Linked DNA regions of Lonchura striata. The protein of the gene in region 3 interacts with the protein of the main gene of each other region in a pairwise test. Links are inferred from orthologs where the notes say so. Each region holds a gene or a part of one and is shown on either strand. Other genes may lie near its edges.

What was found.
Region 1: the proteins of EPM2A (region 3) and PPP1R3D interact in a two-hybrid assay, tested with the Homo sapiens proteins (2 studies listed by BioGRID, with this or other methods). The link is inferred for Lonchura striata from reciprocal best matches to the Homo sapiens genes EPM2A and PPP1R3D.
Region 2: the proteins of EPM2A (region 3) and PPP1R3C interact in binary tests that used the Homo sapiens proteins (3 or more experiments, as listed by UniProt). The link is inferred for Lonchura striata from reciprocal best matches to the Homo sapiens genes EPM2A and PPP1R3C.

What each region holds. Positions count from the first base shown.
Region 1 is NC_134619.1:4,031,462-4,038,925, forward strand, and holds the start of PPP1R3D (protein phosphatase 1 regulatory subunit 3D), read right to left. Parts: upstream 3,040-7,464; 5' UTR 2,379-3,039; coding exon 1,431-2,378; 3' UTR 1-1,430. Other genes in the region: protein FAM217B, read left to right, coding at 4,342-4,442, 5,612-5,717, 5,804-5,889, 6,272-7,464. UniProt on the Homo sapiens protein: Seems to act as a glycogen-targeting subunit for PP1. PP1 is essential for cell division, and participates in the regulation of glycogen metabolism, muscle contractility and protein synthesis.
Region 2 is NC_134609.1:16,471,305-16,478,334, forward strand, and holds PPP1R3C (protein phosphatase 1 regulatory subunit 3C), read right to left. Parts: upstream 3,005-7,030; 5' UTR 2,931-3,004; intron 1,209-2,930; 5' UTR 1,208-1,208; coding exon 263-1,207; 3' UTR 156-262; downstream 1-155.
Region 3 is NC_134605.1:49,438,708-49,446,313, reverse strand, and holds the start of EPM2A (laforin), read right to left. Parts: upstream 3,104-7,606; 5' UTR 3,043-3,103; coding exon 2,781-3,042; intron 2,698-2,780; exon of another isoform or gene 2,552-2,697; intron 1-2,551. UniProt on the Homo sapiens protein: Plays an important role in preventing glycogen hyperphosphorylation and the formation of insoluble aggregates, via its activity as glycogen phosphatase, and by promoting the ubiquitination of proteins involved in glycogen metabolism via its interaction with the E3 ubiquitin ligase NHLRC1/malin.

The DNA.
Region 1 (7,464 bases), on a different chromosome or scaffold from region 3:
TAAGTGGCCTGATATTCAAGCATAGTCCTAAAACACAGCTCTTCTAATATGTCCATCCAGCCAGCTCTAAAAGTCTACGTAACACATATAAAGCTAAACTTTCCATGCAGTAATGATTATGTATGGGAACAATTATGGACAAGCCTTTACTTCATAAATTTAAGCCTGTTGCAAATCTTAAAACACACTAAAACCACAGAACGAAAATAATAAAGCAAGAAGCACGGGAAGATGGTCCTGTGTTCCTGTGCTCTCCCTGCAGCAGAAGGGATTCTGTTTATCAGTCTGTGTAATTAAGTGCTTTCAAGTTCCTGCTTGTGTTGCAAGGTTGCAGTCTTAGGAGGTCAACTGTTTTGCAATGGCAAGCAGTTAAATAAAGAAGTCAAAGCTACTTCTGCAGTAGTTCTGGAACACTGGGACCAACTGTGATGCAGGGTTCTGGAATGCTATTCCAAACTTCTGTACCCTGCTCCCTCTACTATTTCTTTTCCTTACATATTTTTTTTATATCCTATCCATTTCTTGATCTATAATTTTACCAGCAACAGTGATAAAATCATGAGCATTCATCCAGTGCGTTGAGACCTTCAACTGCATTTACAACCACACGTCCAATATTGGTCTCATTTCCCTTACTAAAAGCAGGTGCACCAGAAAGACTATTCCTGTACCACCACCTTGAGAAAAACCTACTTGGGCATCACTTGACAAAGGTGAGAATTTCCCCAAGCAGTGCCTTACACACACTTTGGTAACAATCACTCTTGCTGCAAGGAGGAGATTGGAAAAGGCACCTTTTGTTTTCTTTCCCAAGGGAAGCAGAGGTGCTGATGGCACATTTTCATGTATGTTTTCCTCATAGTAGGATTAAATTTCCAGCTCAGATATTAATGGAAATATTTAACATGGTTACAGCCTTAATAACATATGTATATAAATACAAGTACTCCCCACAGTGTCTGTCATCCAAATTATGCATAAATGGAATAGTGCCCTGACTTGGTGAAGTAATATAAACAAAATTAGAAACAAAACAAGTGAAGCCACACTGTCCACATAAGAAAACAAACAGTAGAAAATGGTAAGAGAGATCAGTTAGAAACATTCTATGCAACCAAGAGTATCACTAGCAACAAGAAATGTTTTGCTCTCTGGTAGCCTCACAGCATTCCTGGGAACCATTCTGCAATGACTCATGCACTCAAAAAACCCACATGGCTTTTCTATGATGGTATCTCACTACAGATTCTGGCCCTTTTAACTTTCCCAGAGGTTTAGTGCAGTTTGTACAGGCCACTGGCTGCCTCCCAGCCCTGGGACACCTGGCCAGGTTTCAAAAAGAAGACTGTTGCCACAGGAGCAGAGCGCCATGGCAAGGGACAGAGTGCCAGTGGGACCACAGGCACGCTGCTCAGCGCCACTGCCTCTGTTCAGATGAAGTGGATCCAGCTCTCCTCACACTCCCTTGGCAGCTTCAGGGGGTGAATCCGGCAGCAGAGGGTGTAGTTCTTGCCTCTGTTGTTATCCCAGTACTCCTGGCCGTTGACTTGGTACCTTGCTGCAAACTGGACGAGAGTGCTCAGCTGAAGGAGGAAAGGAGGCACAGGAAGAAAGAAAGTGAACACATCAACCTGATCCTGCCTGTTTTTGTCTGGGATGCTGCAATTCCAACGAGCACACACCTCGTGGATGCTTTCCCACTGGTTGAAGGTGTAGCGCACGGACACCTGCTTCTCAAAAGCAACATTCTGAACATGGATGGTGCCACTGAGACCCAGATATGAGCTGGTCACCCGTTCCAGACACACCTGCTGCTCCTGGAGTCGGGATGAGAAATCCGGACAATCTGCAGGCTGCTGGAAGTCAGGGACCAAGCATTGCATAGTAAACTCCAAGTTCAAGCTGCTGTACCAGAGGTCTGAGTTTATGGAGAGCCTGGAAAGGACATGCAAAGGGATGGATGGATCCTCCTCAGTTTGGAAGACTTTTACTTCAGTGAGCTCCAAGCCCAGAGCATCAGCAAATCTGACCCGGTTCATGCGGCCCCGGCAGCCGGCCTGACACTGCACTGCTTCTCTCTTCCTCCTCTCGAGTGATGTCGGCAGGGACCTCGCTCGGCGACACATGATGGGCCGCAGGGCTGGGTCACAGCTGGAGTAGGTGCTGCTCGCATGATTATTTGGCTGGACGCTCTCCTTGGCTGGGGCACTGCTCCAAAATGTCTTGCTGCTACCTGTATGGACTGCTGGGGGCTGCTGCTGCCTTCGTGCCACTGTTCCTTCAGCCCTTAACATGTTCTCATAGAGATCTGAGAGGTAGCTGGGATTCCTCTGAGGACCACGCACTTCCATTCTTAACTGGTGACAGAAAATCAGCATTAACACTGCAGGTAACAATGAACACTGACCCTCTGAAGCACTTGATTTGGGAACGGCAGCCACAGTAAGGTCTGAGGTTACTGCACTGGATGCAGCAAGGATCACCTGGAGCAATGTCACCTTCGAAGGAAAGGCAGAAGCGTGGCAGCTCGCACGGCAGCTGGCAGAGCTGTAAGGCGCTGTGTGGGAAGCTGAAGGCAGACTCACTGCCCGATGAACTCGAGATCGCTGTGCTGGCTGGTGGCACCCAGGCTCAGGCTGGAAAGCGATTCAAGGCTATCACCGCTGATACTGGAGGAGCTCACACCCAGGCTGGGGAGCGACTGGAGGCTGTCGTGCTGGATGAAGGACTCCAGGCTGTCGGAGAAGTCGCTGGAAGCGCTGTGCGCGCCCAAGCACCGTGCGCCGGAGCCCCGGGCGAGAGGGGCCTGCAGGCTGTCCTCGCTGGCTGCGGCCGAGCCCGCGCCCCGGCGGCAGCAGCAGCACGAGCAGGGGGGACACTCCAGGCTGTCACACTGGATGCTGGGCGAGTCGAGGCCGGGGAAGCCTTGGAGGCTGTCGGGCGGGAGGGAGCCGGGGCTGCTGCAGAGGCTGGAAGGCGGGCTCGGGCTGTCGGCCGCGGCGCCGGGCTCGGTGTCGTGGCTGGCGGGGGCCGGATCCGCGCTCGGGGCCGCCACAGCGCCCATGGGCGGCGCGGCCCCGCGGCAGCCCGAGCGCAGCCGCGGCCCCGGGGCCCGGCCGACACCGCGGCCGCTCCGCTCCGCGCCCGCGGCGCAAGCGCGGGGCCCTGCCCCAGCCCCGCCCGGCACGGCCCCCGCGCTCGGCGCTCGGGCGGTGCTACGGCTGCTGCGGGCCGCGGAGCCGGAGCACGGGCAGGTACCGGGCCGGGGCGAGGATCGCCGGGGAATGCGGGGCGGCCCCCGAGCGAAGGAGCGGCCCTTGGGAGCGCGGTGACAGCGGCGGGAGGGAGCGGAGAGGGCCCGGCCCGGCTCGGCGGGCGCTGCGGGCACTGCTGCCATCGCTGCGGGCACAGTGTGGCACTGCTGCCATCCACCGCGGGCACTGCCTGCCGTAGCCGAGGATACAGCCTGCCACCATCCCGGGCGCTGCCCTGCCCCGTCCGGCTGCGGGACTGCGGCGCTCCGGGGCTCCGGGGCTCGGCTCCGCTGACAGGATGCGGGGAGGCGTTTGAGGGATAGGACGGGATCAAGTGTAATGTGACTGTAAATGTATAAACAGCACTGCAGTAGAAGTAAAGGTGGGTCAGGAGAGCTGTTTGTCACCTCTCACATTTACAGTCCATTGTGGACCCTTGGAACCGTGCGGTTCCCTGGTACGGGAATGCATTTCCTCTGGAATAAAAGCAAGCAATGGATCCTGCTCTGAGTATTTTTAGTAGGAGCTGATGAGACACTTGTTTTGGAAAAGGAAAAAAAAAAATTAAGTCTTGGATGCAAGATTTGCATGTATGCATATGGGAAGAGCGCATTTTGCGACACAAAAAGGACAGCTGAGCCCGCAGGGGGGTGATGATCTGCTCTCCATAAACTGGGAGCAGGAACACCCGCCCCGCTGGGCTGTGACGCCCAGCCCCGGGCAGCGCCGGGATGTGCGCAGGCCGAGCCGGGGATGGGGATGAGCGCCTGACCCTGCACGGCAGCTCTGCGAGCACACGGTACCCTCAGGTATTTCCTTAATTGGGAATAGTAAATTGAAGATGCTGCTTCCCTCTAAGCGAGTGCTGGGGGAGGGGACTGTTTTCCAGTGCAGTTTGGTAGCTGATTATGTTTATCTTCCTGCTTTAAAAATAGAATCACATCGGGAGGATTTTGTTTGTCACCAGCATCTCCAGGACGTGGCGATGTCTGCATTGGATATATCGTGTCTTGCAAAGCCAAAAGACTGGAGCCGTTTGAAGATTATGTAACAGTAGAAGTGCAGATTCCCTTAGGAAAGAGGAATAATGGGACCAGGCATTCAGGAATATCCCTTATTACTGCACAGAGAGACACAGCAGAAGGAAAGCCACAACCACACCAATGAAAACTACAAAGGAATGGTAAAGTAAGGAAATTAATTTCGCTTTTTATAGTTACTGGAGTGTCAACACGCTGGGCTTAGTTAATAAGTGCCTGGTTGTCTTGTTCCCACTGCCTTCCTCTCCCCTGATCCCAGCGACAGAAATGATTGTGCAGGATGATCGTGCAGGTCACAAGGTCACAGAGGTGACTGCAGCAATGCTAGAGGCACAGGACTTAGCTTCATTCTTTTATAAGCTTTTGAATTTGTAAAGTCATGTGTTGTTAAAATCAAAATCTGACTATACTGACACAGAAACTGAGAACAAGATGTACAGGCTGGCAAATAAACTGAACTGCAGTAATGCTAGATTAGACAGGAAGGCACAGTTTGAATATTCCTGTTCTGAAATAGTATTTTAAAGCTTTCAATTTGGAAATCAGTAATATTTTTTTTCTGTAGAGAAAACACTGTTCTTATTCTGCAGAATATGCTGATTTATTTATTCTGTGTGCTTACACAGAAATGTAGCTGGTTTAATTAAGTTTTAGTTCTAAGCTGCCCAGATCAGCAGTGCCATTCCTCTTGCTTTCATATGAGCTTTTTCTCATAATAATATTTTCACAACCCTCTTATATTGTGAAATAGGGATTTTTTTATGCCTTCATTGTGAAATAGTTTGTATTAATACCAGAAGAGACCTTATGCTCCCTGTTCACTTCCACTCCTTATCTTCAAAGGAATAATCCTTTAAGTTTTGTTGAGAATATGCAAATGGGAAAGACAAGCAAGATTTGGCTTCATATGTGACCTTCATATTGTACTTTATAATTAATTTTGGTAAATTGCAATTGGAGCACCTACCAGGTGCTATAAAAATCAGTAGTTAAATATCTGTAATATTTATTATGTCCGAAGAAGCTTTAGGATCCTCTGACAGAGGATTCTATATAAGGGCTACATTCTATTATTATATCATCTGATAGAATTATTCACTTTTGTATTAATGATATTAAAAATACAGCAGTGCATTTGTAGTATAAAAAGTAAAAAGTGGCCATAGTGGCATAGTCCTAATGAACTTTAAGAATGACTACAATCAGCACTTTTTTCAACTCAGTTGTACTCCTTAAGTTTTTATTGTACTTCCATTCTGACACTCATATATTCTGCTATTTATATCTGATATTTTGTTTAATCCTTTGTGGTTACAGTAATGGAAAAAGCCATCCAAACACCAAAGGACTATATAAACCAATTTCTTATGTGAAATCTCCTCCTGGAAGATTAGGCAAAAATGTATCAAGTGCCATTGAAAAGGTAAATAATCCCCTTTCCTAACATACAAAGGGTAACTACTATAAGTCAGCTTCTTAATAACATCTCAAACTTTCATATCCCTCCAGATTTCCCATGACACTCAAGATGGTTACCAACCAAATGTTTATAAGAAGGGAAGGAACCAGCTGGATGGCAATAATCAGTCAAAAAGGTAATTTTATGAAAGATTATCTGCTTAATTTGTAGTAATTTCAAACTGGTTGACAAAATGCTTGTGATGAAACTGCAGCAGCTGTGTTTTGCTTTTGACTTCACGGGCTCAGAGTTCAGCATTTATGAGAACAACAAATTTTAAGTTATCAAAGTGGAAACTTGCTATACTGCTTTAGTGAGTTCTCAGGCAACAACAGATCAGTAGTAGGCAGTCTTACCTCTACCAGCAGTTATTGATTTTGCCTCATTACCAAGTTTCCATGCCAGTTTTAGCTTCAGTCATAGAGATCTCCATCCTTGAAGGGGTGGCAAGACCTTTGTAAGCTGCTGTTCAAAGGCACTGACCATTCTAACAGTACATTAACTTCCTTTTCCTTTAGGATCCCGAGTGTTTGCAGCTCACTGCACAGTGCACAAGGACCAAAGAGGAGTCCTCCAGAAAGAAGGCAAAACGAATCCCTCCTACACAGGAGTCCCCCAGAAAGAAGGCAAAATCAATCCTTCCTGCACAGGAGTCCCCCAGAAAGAAGGCAAAACGAATCCTTACTGCACAGGATCCCTGCTGGCACAAAGGGCAGCACACAAGAAAACTTCTGTAGGGCTAAGGATGTCTCAGTGCAGCATTTTTATTGCAGTAAAAAAGAACAGTTGGGGAGGAATCACGAAGAATACATGGCTGAAGCCAGTCCAGGCTCTTCAAAATGGCAAGAAGCATCTGTAAGTCAAATGTTTCTTGATTTTGAGTCGGTACAAATTATTAAAGAAGATGCTGAAGATGATAGTGCCAGTGACCTCTCTGACTCAGAAAGGATTCCCATTCCCCCCTCTCCCTGCACTCCACCAGAACTCATCCTCAGAGCTGAAGAAATCGACCCAGTTTGTTTGGAGCACATCCCCGAAATGGGATTTAAAGAATCTGAATATTACTACCCCGACTTCCTCCCACCCCCTTTCAATTCTTGGGACTTGAAGCAGCTGGCCACCTTTGTCCACGTGGAAGGGAAAAGCGATTTCCGCCCCAGGCCCACGGGATCCCTGGAGAAGTTCATGGAGCGCCTGCTGCAGCTGGAGTGGCTGCAGCTGCAGACGGTGCAGAGCGAGAGGGGCAGGGCCACCAAAGCCCGGCCCCAGACTGCCCCCGGCCCCAGCCGTGCCCTCAAGAGCCCCGGGAAAGGCAAAGCCTTGCTCAGCCCTGTGCCCAGCAGGCAGGCCGTGCCCCAGGACAGTGTGACCAGGCTGCCCAGGAGCTCTTTGGGTCACAGGGCAGAGCTGTGCCCTGAGCAGGCTCGCCAGGTGCGTTCCCACACAGGTCACCTGAAAGTTCCTGAGAGGATGGGGTGTGCAGCCTCTTCTCAGAGGCAAACTGGTGATGGAAGGAGTGAACTGAAAAAGAAACCAGCTGCAAAGCAGCAGCTTCTCAGTCTGCAGCCCCCCGAGAGCAGCTCTAAAATCCAAAGTGTTGGTAACATCAGACCCCCTAAGCAAACCCCAGCGTTCAATGGTGCAGCTGCTCCCATCAAAGGCTTAAAAACATACGTGTGTACAAATCCAAAGAAAAATGGCAATGCCAGCA
Region 2 (7,030 bases), on a different chromosome or scaffold from region 3:
ATACTTGAGATACAGGCAAGCTACTCCTATAGTATGTAGCATACACATGAATTGCACCTTGGTTTTCTTTCCTTCCAAGGATAAAGTTTGGCTAAGGATTTCACAAGCGTAAAATGGTTCAACAAGTCCCACAGTCTAATGAACTTGGATTTTTTCAGACAGCAAACAAAACCTGCCAGGTGGTTTCCCCATGCAGTATGTGAACCAGAAATCTAGCACTGTTCTGTTGCCAAATGGAAGGATTTTTCCTCAGTAGCATGGATCACCAGTATGGTAATGAACTTTCAATCTGACCCAAGCTCTGCCACTGGGGAAAGAGACCACTGGACAACCTTGGACTGCCCATCTGGTCAGGTTCTCTCTCTTGTCCTCTCCTTGAAGTCTGAAGATCTACATAGCCTGCCTTGGCAGATGGTATCTGAACACCATTAGGCTTCCACTCTGCATGTACAATTTTGTAATTCTGACCCTCATTATTGTCCCAGAAGGTATGTTCTCCACTTTGGTAAGAAATACAAAACTCTATCTTCTCTTCAGAGGAAATGGCAGGAGGAAAATCAATGGTAAATGAGAAGGTATCATTTTCAAAATCACTGTAAACATTGTTCATGTACACACACTCAACATCTTTGTAGGTCTTCCACGTATCAAAAGTAATACGAACCTGAACCTTTTTTTCAAAGCTCATATTTTTTACTTTCACAGTGCCTGACAGGACCTTCTCTTGCAGGGTGCAGGTCTCCAGGCAGACCAGGTTCGTCTGCAGACGGTTCCTAAAGTCCAGGTAGTCAGTTGAGGGCTGAGGGAAACCCAGAATTAAGGTTTTCTCCTCATGGAGTTTTAAGTCAGATGTTATGTCCTCAATGCCTAAGAGGTCAAAAGGCAGATCCCACACAGGGGGCTCCTGGAACTCGGAGAAGGTGTGGATCACTGTCAGGGACAGCCCCTTGGAGTCTGCAAACACAACGCGCTTCTTGGCTCGGGCTGGCGAGTGGTTCCAGTCGCTCTTCCGATCTTCAGAGTCGCATTTCACATGAAGGCACGGCCTGAGAGGTTTGAGTCTGCTCACAAAGCTGTTTCTCTGGCAGTCCTCGAGGGGGCCGAGAAAGCTTTTCAGCGGCGGAGAATGGGCTATGCAAATTCGCATGGCCATATCCACAGGCATGCTGGAGCTGGGCAAGGGTCTCGGGTCCAAGACCTGTAACATTCTGAATGGAGAAGAAACACCGGATGTCATCATTTATCACATCAGATAAGAAGCTTCTCAAGAATGTGTATTTACTTCATCCATTATCTTAATTACTCACGGCTTCATCTCTGCACAGTTTTAAACAATGCAGGCTAAAATAAAAATTGACAATTCTGCCTAAGGAACCACACTGAAACTAGTCAGTCATTTCTTACCAACCCTAAATTTCTTCAATTCAAATCTACTCTCCTTTCTTTATCCAAAACTCTGAAAAACAGATTTTAGTGAAAGCTAGTTGAACATATTTTCTTAAAGATACAGAAAAGAGCATTCTAGTAGTGAGTAAAACGAATCCAGTTAAAGTAGAAGTGCTCATCCACTTCCCTCTTAGAGGCCCTGAGTGAGGTCTTAAAATTCCAACAAGCTGGATCAGCTGCTTCATCTCTGAGCACAGACAGCACTATATTAAGCAAGTTGCCTATCCCATCAGAGCATCAGATGGGATTCTATATCCCATCAGAGCATCAGATGGGATTCTATATATCTTTATGCAGAACCATCATTCTGTGGCTCTGAACAACTGTCAGTTGATCTTTTTAGGCAATTGTTTAGTTGAATAAAAATACTAAAGCACCTTTATAAGTATTTTTATGAGCTGTGAACCCAGGTCTAAGTCATAGGGCTCTTTGCACTGGTAATGTCAACTGCTGAGTGAAGCAGGGGGAAAAAGTGGGAGAAGAGAAGGGCATGCTATTTTTTTCACCTCATTAGGCTTCAAAAATTGACTTTAAAACAACTTTTTATAATCCCTAAAGACCATACTGAAAGTCTACTGCAAGGATTCAATAAGAATGCTACAGGTTTTTTTGTAAAGAGTTACTAATAACCCTCCCTCTCAATGACGGATATCAAAATTACTGTGCAAGGCCATGGCCCATGCAATGCCAGATAGCTTGAATATTTCTAAAAAGGGGCTTCAACCATGGCACATCCCTGCTGAAATGGATGCAGTCTTTGCAGGAAACACAGAGCTTTGTTGAATCATGGAAAGGCATTTGCTTTGTCACTTAAATAAATGGCTTTCTGCTTCCCAGAGTTCTCACTGGTATTCCAGAGCCCTGCCAAAAATAAAGCAGGAGCTCCAGTGGCCTCTTTTTGCCTTTTTTTTTTTTTTTTTTAATTTGCGGAGTATTTACCATAATAAGCAGTAGGAGGAGAGTACCCGAATCAAATTAATCAACTTTTGCCTTGCTTTGCTTTATTAGGAATAGAACTAAGGCTTCAGAAATACTCTCTCTGCAACTTTGGTGACCCGAGCTTTTGCAGTGTCAGGGGAAAAAAATAAAAAAAAATAAAAAAAAATAAAAAAAAAAAAAATAAAAAAGGAGAAAAGCCCACGCAACACCGAAATAGCGAACAAGCGCCCAGCATGCAAACCCCACCCCACCCCCGGAGCAGCTGCGGGCTGCTGGAGGGGGCGCCGGGCGCTGCCGGCGGGGGCAGCGGCGGGGACGGCAGCGGCGGGGGCAGCGGCCGGCGGGGGCAGCGGAACGCGGCGGGACCCGGGCGGGCGGCGGGACCCGCGGAGCGCGGCGGGACCCGCGGAGCGCGGCGGGACCCGGGCGGGCGGCGGGACCCGGGCGGGCGGCGGGACCCGCGGAGCGCGGCGGGACCCGGGCGGGCGGCGGGACCCGGGCGGGCGGCGGGACCCGGGCGGGCAGCGGGGCCGGGCGGCGCTTACCTGGTGCGCTGCAGTGCTGGGGCCGCCGCTCCCGGGCCGCGCCCGCCGCGCCGCCGCCTTTATGGGGCCGGGCCGCGGCCCGCGGCCAAGGGGCGGCCCCGGGGCCGGGCGGGGGGCCGCTCCCGCCGGGGCCGCCGCGTGCCCCGGGGCTGCCGGGCGGACGCAGCCCCGGTGCCCCCGCCCGGAGCGGGCCCCGCTCCCGCGTGCTCCGGGAAGGGCGGCAGCAGCTGCGGGCACCGGGGTGCGACGGGGACTCGCTCGGGCACGCGGCCGTGCCGGCAGCCAGCGAGCGAGCGGCGTTCTCTGCCAGGGCTTTTCGCGTGCCCGTGTGCGGCTGCTTCGGGAACTTGCCCAGCTGAACAAAACCTGTGTTAAATTATAGACTTCTCTGCTTCGTTGGAAAGAAGCCGGGACACTAAGTTGTAAGGTAATGTTCCCAGGGCCAGAAATCCATCATCCTGGAGTCTAACTGCATTTGTCCTCAGTGAAAAAGTACTTTTGAACTTTTAATGTAAATGGTGCAGACAGCTTTTCACCTCGCACACCTGGTGATCTGTGCACTGCCTGAGGATGACAGGCCCTGCTATAGGCCCCACATTTTATCTACTGCCTTTTTCCAGAGGAAAGGGACAGAAGGTGGTGGAAGGCAGCCCCCGCAGCGTTAGCGTTAGCCACAGCAGGCTGAGTAATCCTACTAGAGGTCTGTTGCTGAGTTACTGCTCTTCAAAGACCATGTCCTGGATGCTAACTTTTTCTCCGGGTCTTCTGCAGATGAACAGTTCCACTGCCATCTTCTTGCTGCTCAGCTGCTCTTTCCCAAGGGTGGGAGATAGCTTGCAGGCAACGTAACAAGATGTGATAGGGAGTCTATGAACTGTGATTTTCTGAGTTCACAGTTTTTACCAGTAAATGAGACAACATACAAGTGAACAGCAGGAAGTCCTATGTTCTACATGAAGCAAAGGGGGCTTACAGTGATGAGCAAACAGTAAAGGATTTTTCTGTTCTTGATCTGTGAGCAAAAGAAATTAAAAGCTCTACTGCTTATGCGTGAGAATTTATTAGAAGATAGGGTGTGAGCATACCAGATGATGACAAGGACACTTTCACCTTGGATTCAAGCTACATACAAGCAGAGGGCACAAACAGAAAAGGTTAGAGCCTTCTGATGACAGATGCATGGCACATAGATCAGTATCTGCCTCTGTACATGTAATGAGAGTATTCACCAGCCAGTAACACTGCAGTTTCTTAGTTCTGCCCTTTGGTGACTGAAGTTCCTGCCTTTTGTGACAGTATATGACAGTAAGTGTCACCCAGACAAAGCCTGAAGCATTAACTGGCAGTGCAGACAGGGCTATGGAAGGTCCTGTTCTGTTCCCTGGAGCCAGTTACTCAGGACAGCCTTCCCTGGTCCTCCACTTCTCAAGCTGCATCCCTGCTACTGACATTGCTCTTCCTCTCCTTTCCCTTCTTTTATCTTTTGGTGACTGCTGGCTCCCTATCGAAGGCAGATGATATTTTCTCATTCTTTGTCTACAGAAAGTGATAGAAAACAGCATCTGTGTTTTGGAAGCCTTGCTAATAGCCTTACTAGTTGCAAGTTTATTTTTCTTTTGGAGGAGCTACAAAGACTTTCAGCCTCAACCCCCCCACCTGGAGTAAACTAGGTCAAACATACCCATGGGTATAAGGAAAGACTGGACACATGGCTGGCACTTACCAAATCTCTTCTATTTACTCATAAAAAAATCAGTAAATAACTCTGGCGTTTGTTTGCCTGTACTACTTGGATCTCTGTCCACACACACTCCTTAGCTGGGTTGCTGTGTTAGCAGAGATCACGTGCAGCAGAGCTGGGGCTGCTCTATCACACTATCTGCAGACACTAAATAAGAGCTGCTTGAGGCCTGTAAAAAAGGAGTTGCCTCAAGGCTTTCCTGCACATATTTCTGTTGCTATATAGTAGCTCGTTGCACTGTTGGTGCTATAAAATATTTTGCTTCTGCTGTGTAAAATACCTGTTTTGCCTAACTTGGAAAACATCTTGAAAGACTGTTTAAAGTGATATGATTAGGAAAAAAAATGGTAGTGAGATCCAGACCTTTCACAGGCACATCATTGCCCAAGTCAGTAAATACAGACTGGATACGGGAACTTTGTGCCTAATTGGTACTCTGGAGCACATTCATGGCCGTGGTCTGGTGTCCCAGTTCCTGGTTGCCAATACAAGCAGAGAGTGTTGTGCAGAGCAAGGGTAACTCTTTCCTCATCTAGGGAGGCATCCCTGCATTGAGGCAAACTGACAGGGTTATGTGAGTTAACACACCAGTCTGTCCTGTCAGTGATGGTTCCCTAGCTGTGCTTTTTATAGAGGACTCAGGTTTCCAGATACTTTGGTTTGGCATCTTAAAATGTAGATCTGTCTGTCTGTCTTACCTTTCAAATCGTGCTGCTAAAATAGGAGCACCAGAGGAAAAAAAATCTCCTGTCTTACTGGGCATTTGACAGCACTTTGTGGCATATCAGCTTTTCTGACATTGGTAGGTGCACAGTGGCAGAAATATGTAAGTGGAAAAAGCACGGCTGATTATAAAATCAAGCCCCATCATAGGGGGTTGTACCTCCAACTGCTTCTGTAAGAAGGAAACCCAAGTCGATCACCCAGACTAGTTCTCTGTCATTTCCTGAAAAAGTGGCACATTAGACCTAGTAAGTTAATTGCAACGTGTTAGCTATAGAAAACACAGATTTATTATAGCTACCATAGTTTCGCTAAATCTTAAATGTACGTTTTTAAAGCAGTTTGCAGCCTAGATGGTCCAGATGCAGTGGAAGGCACAGGCTCGCTTGCAAGGAGTTCATTGAGGTTGCTCAGTGACAAACTGGCAACTGGGCTCACGCTGCTCTGTTCAAAGACAAATATATGGTATTAGCTCCACAGCAAATGCTTTTATATGCAGATGGTCCTCCAGATCTTGCCATTCTTCACCTCAGCTGAACTAACCACAACCTTTCAATCAGCAGTTCTGGGAACAGATAATGAGTGATTGTGCCTTCCTGTCAGCTATCACACTGCAATGGGCTGCTCTGGTCATCTCTTTGCTGGCTCTTATCATTTTATGAGAATGAAAAAACTGCTTTTTTTTCAGCCTCTGTTCTGGGACCGAGTAATTAAGCAAGGAATTTGTGTTTACTATGACTATATTACTTTCAGGTCGCTGTGCTTCTTTGCTATCCTCCCCCACAACTTCAGGAAGGAAGAAAGGAAAAACATCGCAGTGGAGGATATAGAAGGAGTAGAGGAGCTATTATCATTTAATTAAAGGTTTTTGAAGCTTTTGAAGATAGGCAAATATTTCCTCAGAGCAAAGTAAAGTCATGACCACATTTATAGGTAAAAAAGTCCAGAGAGAAGAACATACGTCCATTTCACTTGCATAGTAAAGCATCTCTTGAGAAATCCTTACTGTTTGCTGGGTGGGAGAGCAGTGCTAGCTTAGTGCAGTTACAGTATGCAATTGAGCAGGAAAGCCTTTTGATTTGGTTTTGGGCTTGAAACTAAAACCAATTGCTAGGCCAGCAGCACTATACTGGTGTCATTAGAAAACAAAATATGTCCACCTTATTTTGGCTGGCTCGTTCCTGCAGCATCACACAACACCTGTGAAAGAGACAGAGCTTTAATGGCTTTAAAGAACATCTGTGGTAATAGACAGGGTCAATTCTGTAACACAAGGTAAACAGCAGCCATTTTTTTTCCTTGTCTTGAGCTCTTCTGTTCAATGTTTGTTCTCCGCTATAAAACTAATCTTTGTAAATGTGTATTATCTATGAAGTTGGGCTGCAGTTTTCTATGAATGTGACTGTAAGGCAAATAGTGATTTTTCAGATACACAGCAAGTCTGTAAGCATTTAAAATTTATAATTACTTTTAATGGTTTATCTAATGAAAAACTCTGTAAGCAGAGTTTTATTAAGTCCTAATAGAAGGCTATATTATTTATTTGCTTCTCAGAGCCCTTTGGTGAACTTTGAAAATTACTAATGGTTGCAAATTTATACAAGGAAACTAGTCCTGGGAAATTCTCTTATTGTTT
Region 3 (7,606 bases):
CAGCAGACACAAAATACTTTTAGTTTCCAAGCTGAGAGATGTTAAGTCCAGTTTTGAAGAATCAACACAAAAAACAAAGTACACAGACACAGGTGCACTTGGGGGAGAAAAAGGTACATACATGAATTTAGCTTTTTTTCTAATTCCCAGATTCTAAAGCTCAGCATAACCAACCTGTTTCGACAGCATATACAAAGAGACAGCATATCACAAACCCTCCTGGATAGCAGGCTTCAGCTTTCACAGTAGGTAAGCAAGTACCAATCCTGAAGAAACCCCACACAGCTCATGTGACCTGAGCCAGAAACACTCAATGGCTTTAAGTGACAGGTCCTGTGTGCAGACCAGCAACATCTCCCTGGGACAGCAGAAGCAAGTATCTTCAGGAGCACAGGGGAGTCTCACCTCCCACTTTGTCCTCCTAGGGAGGGGAACTTGTTCCCTCAAGGCACATGCAACAACCCAGTGAATCTTGCACAGGCCAAGCCTTGCCTGAAAGCTTCCTACCAAAAGCCATAGAACACTGGCCTGTGACTTTGACTCTTCTAGCCCACATAAATAACTACCTCCACTTTTATCTTTCAGTCTTCCCCACTGTATTGGAATGGCTGAAATTTGTACTCAAAACAGATGATACATAGGTATCGTACTATCACAAAAACAATATGCACTGCCAGTGGAATTCTCACACACGTATGTGTCTTAGTAAAAAAGATGAAGTAATTTTCTTAAATACAGCACATGATTTCAACATCCAATATATGTAAACATCTGACACCCCTAATCAGACTGACATCCATGGACTACAGTTTCTCTGGTTACAGATGGATGCCTCAACTCATAAACTTAGAGCAAGTATCATTCTGCACTTTCCTCTATCCCTCACAAACATGTCTTCAAAACTGCAGATGTTCTGCAAGAGCTAAGTGTTTCCCAAAGCCCATTTTAATTCTAAACACACAGGATACTAAAGAGACAATGCACAGCATTTGTTCAGCACAAAAAAACACCTGTTCTTTTTTTAAGAAGAGAGTTGTCTTTTCAAGCTCTGGGTTTTACAAGAATAAACAGATGACAGACAAATTTTCATTGATCACAGTTAAAAAACCCCAAAAACCAAAAAACACTAAAACAGATTAAAAAGAATGGCAAGATTGCTCAGTTATTGGATAAGAAAATTTCCCTAGGCTTCCTTCATGCAATAAAGCAAGAAAAATAAATTTCAAGGTTTAAGCAAATTTGTACTTTCATGTAAATATCAATTGAGGAAAAAACTGTTGATATTAATGACTAATTAAAAAATTATTCTGCATTTAGACGATGTGCCCACTTGCTTTCTATCGTTCCTGGTAACCACTGAGCTCAAACTCCTGAGCATTCACAATGACAAGAACAAAATGCCAGCCAGGTTAATCCTAAAACTGCAAATCTGCCAAATCAAAGTATGTTTATTACTCTGACTACATTTCCTAAACGTGCTCCCTGAATAGACAACAATTTGAGCTACCACTACTTCCAAACCAGAACATAACCATCAACCTTCAAATTGATGATTCTCTCTAATTATTCACTATTATTTCTATGAAATTCTAATTATTTCTATTTCTACTATTATTTCTAAAATCTGTGTGGTGAGGACTGCTTTATATACCAGTATCACTGTCATATTATGTACAACTTGGCACCTTCAAAGGGACCCAATTCTGCTTCCTTGGACAGATGTAAAGATTTTTATTCCATAAATTCACTTTTCCTGCAATTCTGGAAAAGAAAACATGGTTAAAACAGGCAGAATATACTATTTGTTTTAGCTGCTAAACAAAACAATTACTATTGTATGAGGGACATAGTCCTTTATGATGTAAACTTCTGTGAATGTAGCATTTACATGAAGTCTTTTATTAGCATGAAGAACAAACAAATGCAACAGTTATGACAACATGCATGTTTTAGTCTACATGACAGAAAGGCAGTTCAGAAATGTGGTATGTATTCTTAAAATGGGTGAAGAGCAACTGCTCTACAATGTGTTATTTTGGTACATGGATTATTATGCTATGAGTTAAAAAAATACCCTCACAAATTACCAAGTGATCTATCTTCCTTTCACTAGGTCAGACCATTCCTCAGTTACAGGAGGTATATTTAGAGTTTTATTTGACTCAGGAAACGACTGTCTCAGTGTTCCCTTGGATTTAAGATACTTCAGTATACTAAACAGCATATGGAAACTGACCAGTTATTCAATATTTGAAAACACACAGAAAGAGGAAAACACGGTGGAAGTACTACTGAAACAGCAAGAAGACTGGAAAAGCTGTAACTAAACTTCTCCCTGTGCTTTTCTTTAAGAAATCAAAATAGCAAAATTTACCAGCCTGAAAATGCCATAATGACACATCACCTTAGCGAAATGAAATAACTACACCATAGTGAATACTAGGAGATCCTAAATTCTTCACTTCTGAGGAAGAAACAAAACTTCATGACAATGGATGCCTAAAGCAAGGGGGTGGGGGGAATGAAACTGTTTCAAGTAACTTTTACCAACCTATAAAGACAGCCTCCTGTATTTACCCGCCTCCATCACACAGCCAAAAAACACTTGTGTTTGCGAGCACCCACGTCACGAGAGCCGCGACAGCCTGGGCGGCTCTACGTGCACCGGCGGCTCCGGGGACAGGGAGCGGCGGGAGCGGGCGGACGGCGCCGCAGCGGTGCTCAGAGCCGCACCGCCCCTCCCGGCGGGGCCGGGCACGGCCAGGGGGTCCCTCCGTTACCTTCCCAGAGGAAGTGGCCGCCCTCCCGCCGCAGGAACTTGTACCAGAAGGGGCTGGCGGCGTCCTCGTCCGGCAGCGCCACCTCGGCCAGCCACAGCGCGGGCTCCTGGGCGGGCAGCGGGGCGCTCGGCCGCGCCCGCCTCATGGGCACGGCGCGCCGCGGGTCCCACTCGCCCAGCTCCGGCCGCGACCCGGCCACCAGCAGCTCCGCGCCGCCCTCCGTCACCCGGCCGGGCAGCACCACGCCGAAGCGGAACAGCATCGTACACAAAGAACGGCGCTTAACCGGGAGCTCTGCTATTGCACAGCCGCCGCTGGCAGGCCGCCCGGGCCCGCCCTTCCGCCGGGGCTGGGGGTCGGACACCGGCCCGGAGACCGCCCCTGGCCCGGACGCTGCCCCGGCCACCGGCCCTGCCCTTGCGGAGCCCGAGAGGTGCCTCCTTCGGCCGGGGCTGCTCCCGCTTGTTTCGGGCGCTCGGCTGCCGCACGCACGCTGCCGGGGATCTTCCCCTCCGAAGGGGAGTTGAGCAACACCGAGCCTCAATCGCCTCCTAAAGTGGGGATGGAAAATCCCCTCCGCAGCTAAACACTGGCTCTCCTGGTTGCCAAAGGCTACGCGTCACGTATGGTGACTGTAACAAGGATTATTGCTGCGTTAAAGGAAGCCATTGCAATTACTGCCAAGAACTCAGGCTTAATTTAGCGCAGCAAAGACATCATTGAAAATTGCCGTACTTGCAGCTACGAACAAGGACTGGCTGCAAATAACGCTGTAGTGTTCATGATGTTTATGTCTTTCCCGCTGACAGCCAGCCAGTCATGGTGAGAAAATAAATGTGAAGTGCTGAGGGAGGTTAGAAAGCTTTTAAAGAAATCTGGAGTTCGCTGCACGAGTTCTGTTTACGGCCAGAAGGGGAAAATTTGGCAACTCCTACGCGTAGCAATACTAAGGACTTAAAAAGACTGAGGAAGAGGATGCAATCCAGCCATTTAATGGGCGGTCCCTGCTTGAATACACCCATTTCAGAAGCTTTTAAGGACAGAAAAAGAGAAATGGTAACTTTATTTAGGTCAGGTTCTGGGAACAGGATGAAGGCCTTTCAATGAGTCAAAAGAAATCCTGCCTCAAGAGATGGCTGTTTGTTTCCTTTATGCAGGGGTGATGACACTGAAGTGTATGTGCTGCCAAATTTATTTTTAAGAGTGCTTTAGCCAATTTTCACTGATACTCATTGAACTTGTGTAAGTGATATTCTACCACTTTTCCAGACATAACCAAAACAAATGAAATTCTCACTGTCCTCCATTTCTGCTGGCTTTACTGTAGCACTGCTGCTTTTGTGGAACAGTGCAGCACATTTTAATTTTTTTTTCTCAACCTTACAGTTGAGCTACCCATACCCTGTCTCATAATTTCAAATATCTAACTCTTTACCATACACCCCCATTTTAGCAGCACGAGACAGAATGTAAGAATTCTGGGGTTTTATCCTAAAGATCAAGCATGACAGGAGTCCTAAAACCACCTCAGCATATTGTGTCTACACAAAACCATATGCTTCTGTTCATTCCAGTCACAGCTTAAAAACTGCAGGATTCAATAGGGCATCTGATTGACAGTTTAGTTCCTGGCTGTTGTCTAAGCCCCAGTGTAAAGAGAGACCAGCAACATCCATCTTTGGACAAGACTGAACTGCTTTGTGCCTGTAAATATTGAGTCCTCATCTTAGACCTGTAAGCCTTGTGGAACAATAAAAAATTGTTCTGTAGACTCTGATGTGCCAAGTAGTATCTTTAAAATTAATTTAGTCAATTTCTTCTCCGGGATCTGCCTTAATCCATTTTGTGCCACTCAATATTGTGTGTTAAAGATGACAGAAAGTGGCCAGCTTGATTTCCTGACGTTTCCTCAAAAGCCCTAGTGCAGATAAGGGTTAGGTTGAGAGATCAACAGGAAGGGCTGAAAAACTGGATCTACTGATGGATCCTGCAAGACTGAGATAAAAACTAGAAATGTAGATTGGTTTGGGACATCCCATGGCTGGGTATAGTGGGAACAGAAGAGCAGTTTATATTGGTGAAATTGCAGGCTGAATGGGGGCTGTAGACAGGATAAAATTTATTAGCATTAGATCTGAGACTGAGGAGCTAAAGGTACTGTGAAGTTTGTTTTTGCAAATGTATGTTTTTTCCCCTGTTAGATTTGCATGGTCTATGATTTGTCATCTTCTAAACTGGAATTTCAGCTGGAGTAAAGGCAGAGGAGGTAGGGAGGAGTTCCACTTACTGTTAGTATTTGGGATTGAAGGAGTTGATGAAGTACTTCCACAGTTGAGCCACTGCCATAACCCTAAATTTAGTTTCAAGTGTCACCCTAAGCCTCTTAAGGAATTAACAATAGTTTCCTTTGCCAAAATGACCTGTTATTCTAGTACTGCCTGGCCAGTGCTCTTCCCCTAGTTCTTAACACTATTCTGAAACCTAAAAGCTTTCATGATAATCCAGTCATCTTTTACAACCACAAATTAAACATGACTATTTCCTTTTTTTTTTTTTTTTCCACTATAGTAAGTCTTCCTTCCAACTTGGCAAGCCTTACAATTCCCATCAAAAAGCTTTGGCACAAAGGGGCAAAACCCCAATAGTTAAGCTGTTTTTAATTGTCACAAAAACTACTGTCACTCATTGATTCCTGTGGGAACAAGCTACCATCTTAGGGGTCTGTTTGCATTGCAATCATAAATGCTGTGCATTTGTGCCTCTCACAGCTGTTTAGGATCTCTCAATATACTTACAGCAGCCACTTGCTGAATGGAAGCCCCGACTGACCTCAAATCAAACAGTGAGCTAGCAACACAGTGAGGCTTAATGCCAAGTTTATTTAAAAGCCTTCAGTTTATTGTTTCTGCTACCATCCGAGGCATTTGCTAAAGTTGTTTCTAACTGGCAAAAAGGGAAGAATTATATGAAAAAAAAAGGACAGCCTATTTTTACACAGCATTAGTGTGCAAGAAGGGACTTGAGAGATCAGTTTCTGCAAGAATGACTTGCTTTGTGGAGTTCACCTAAATTGTACCAATACATAGTAGCCTTGTGTAATTTCTAGCTAATTAGCTGGCTTATTATCCAAAATTTGTGCAGGTAGTGGGGATCACACAGGAGGACTCACCGAGGCTGTGTACCAACTTAACATCAACCAACCATCAGTTATGCCTTCAGGTTTCTGCCTAACGGCTGTATCTGAAAGGATTCTACGGAGAAGGCTGAATGTCCAGAAATGTGACTTCATTTGCAGACATGTAAAACACATTTAAAGGCATTTTCACTTGCTGTGCACTAAACATTTGCAGAATCACAGTTCTAACATTCTGCAGAAGTCAAATTTCTTATGGTGTCTCTTTCAGAAATAAAATTGTCATGATATTTTTGTGAACCCAAGAGTTTTAAACCATTTGTTACATCCCAAAAAAATTGTGCAAAGTATTGCTGGCCGAAATTTTAGTGAAGACAGTAGTTGAGAAGTTTGACAGCATACTCCAGTTCAAAATTCAGCTTTCCAAGTGGAAAGTCATATTTTTCTTCACAGTTTTCTTATCTGCAAAGTGTCTACTAGGTATAGAGACAGCACACAGTTATCTGATCAATGTGAATACTACTAAAATGACAGCTGAAGTTAATAGTTCCATGCTGGGGTAGCCTGTGTCTGCAGTATAAGTGTTCTTCTTTTAGCAATTCCAAACTTTTGCCCCATAGCCCAGTTGCAGCTTGGAACAGCTTTATCTGTTATTGCTGTACAGTGATCTAAGATGGTATTTCCAAGTAGGGAAATCTGTAGTGAAGAGAGAGAGCTTGAATAACAGAAACAAAACACAAATACAGAAATATTTGGTTGGAGAAGGGAGGGAGTATTCCTGATTGCAAGTTGTGGGTGATGTTTAGATTAGCAGTGCTCCTTCCTAGACTTGCCTTTCTTCCCTTTTTAGGTCATTTTCTTTCTTGTAAAGATACAGAGAAAGTGTTATTGCAATTCCCAAATGTTTCTGCTAATTATAGAAAAGAGAAAAGCAGCACATGGCACACAGTCTTGCTTGTAAAAAGGCAAACATTTATATTATGTGATAAGCTGATTTAGATGTATTAATGATTTGGGTAAAATATTCATTGCTGAAAAATTTAGACAGCCTGTATTTCTTCAAAGAGATTGTGCTAAATATAAAAGAAACCTTATTCTAGTGCAAATAATTTAAGACCACTGGTTTAAGTAAAAGTTAAGTATTCTAAACTACTCAATCGACAGACCCAGACCTTCTAATTGAATTCTAACTGTCCTTCTCTTATCAATTCTGATAGAACTATGAACTAATGCTCTCACCAATATTTCTAATTTGACAATACAGCAGCTAATAAATACCTTTATAGACTGAAGACTGAAAGAAGACTAAGATTAAAGAACTTGTTAACAGATAAGCACTGCTATCCATAATTTTTAGTTTAGAGCTGTGTCAGAGCACTGATAACTGCATGATCCATTTTAGCTGCTTATTGCTAGGAGCAAACTTTTATGCAGACTTAACTACAGAAGTTCTGTCAGGAATGACCATTTCAGGAATTGTGTTGGAAAAATTTTCTGCAACAATAGATAGGACACTAAAGGAGATGGTTTCCACTTTTGCATGGGGGTTTGTGTAGCATATTTTTTAAACAGGTTGTTGTTTTTAGAAGTAACTTGGCAGTATAAATATGCAATAACATTACAGTAAACACTACAGAAATACATACAGGAATAACTGATCTGGTAGGTTTCTTTTTTCAACATCCAGTTAAGC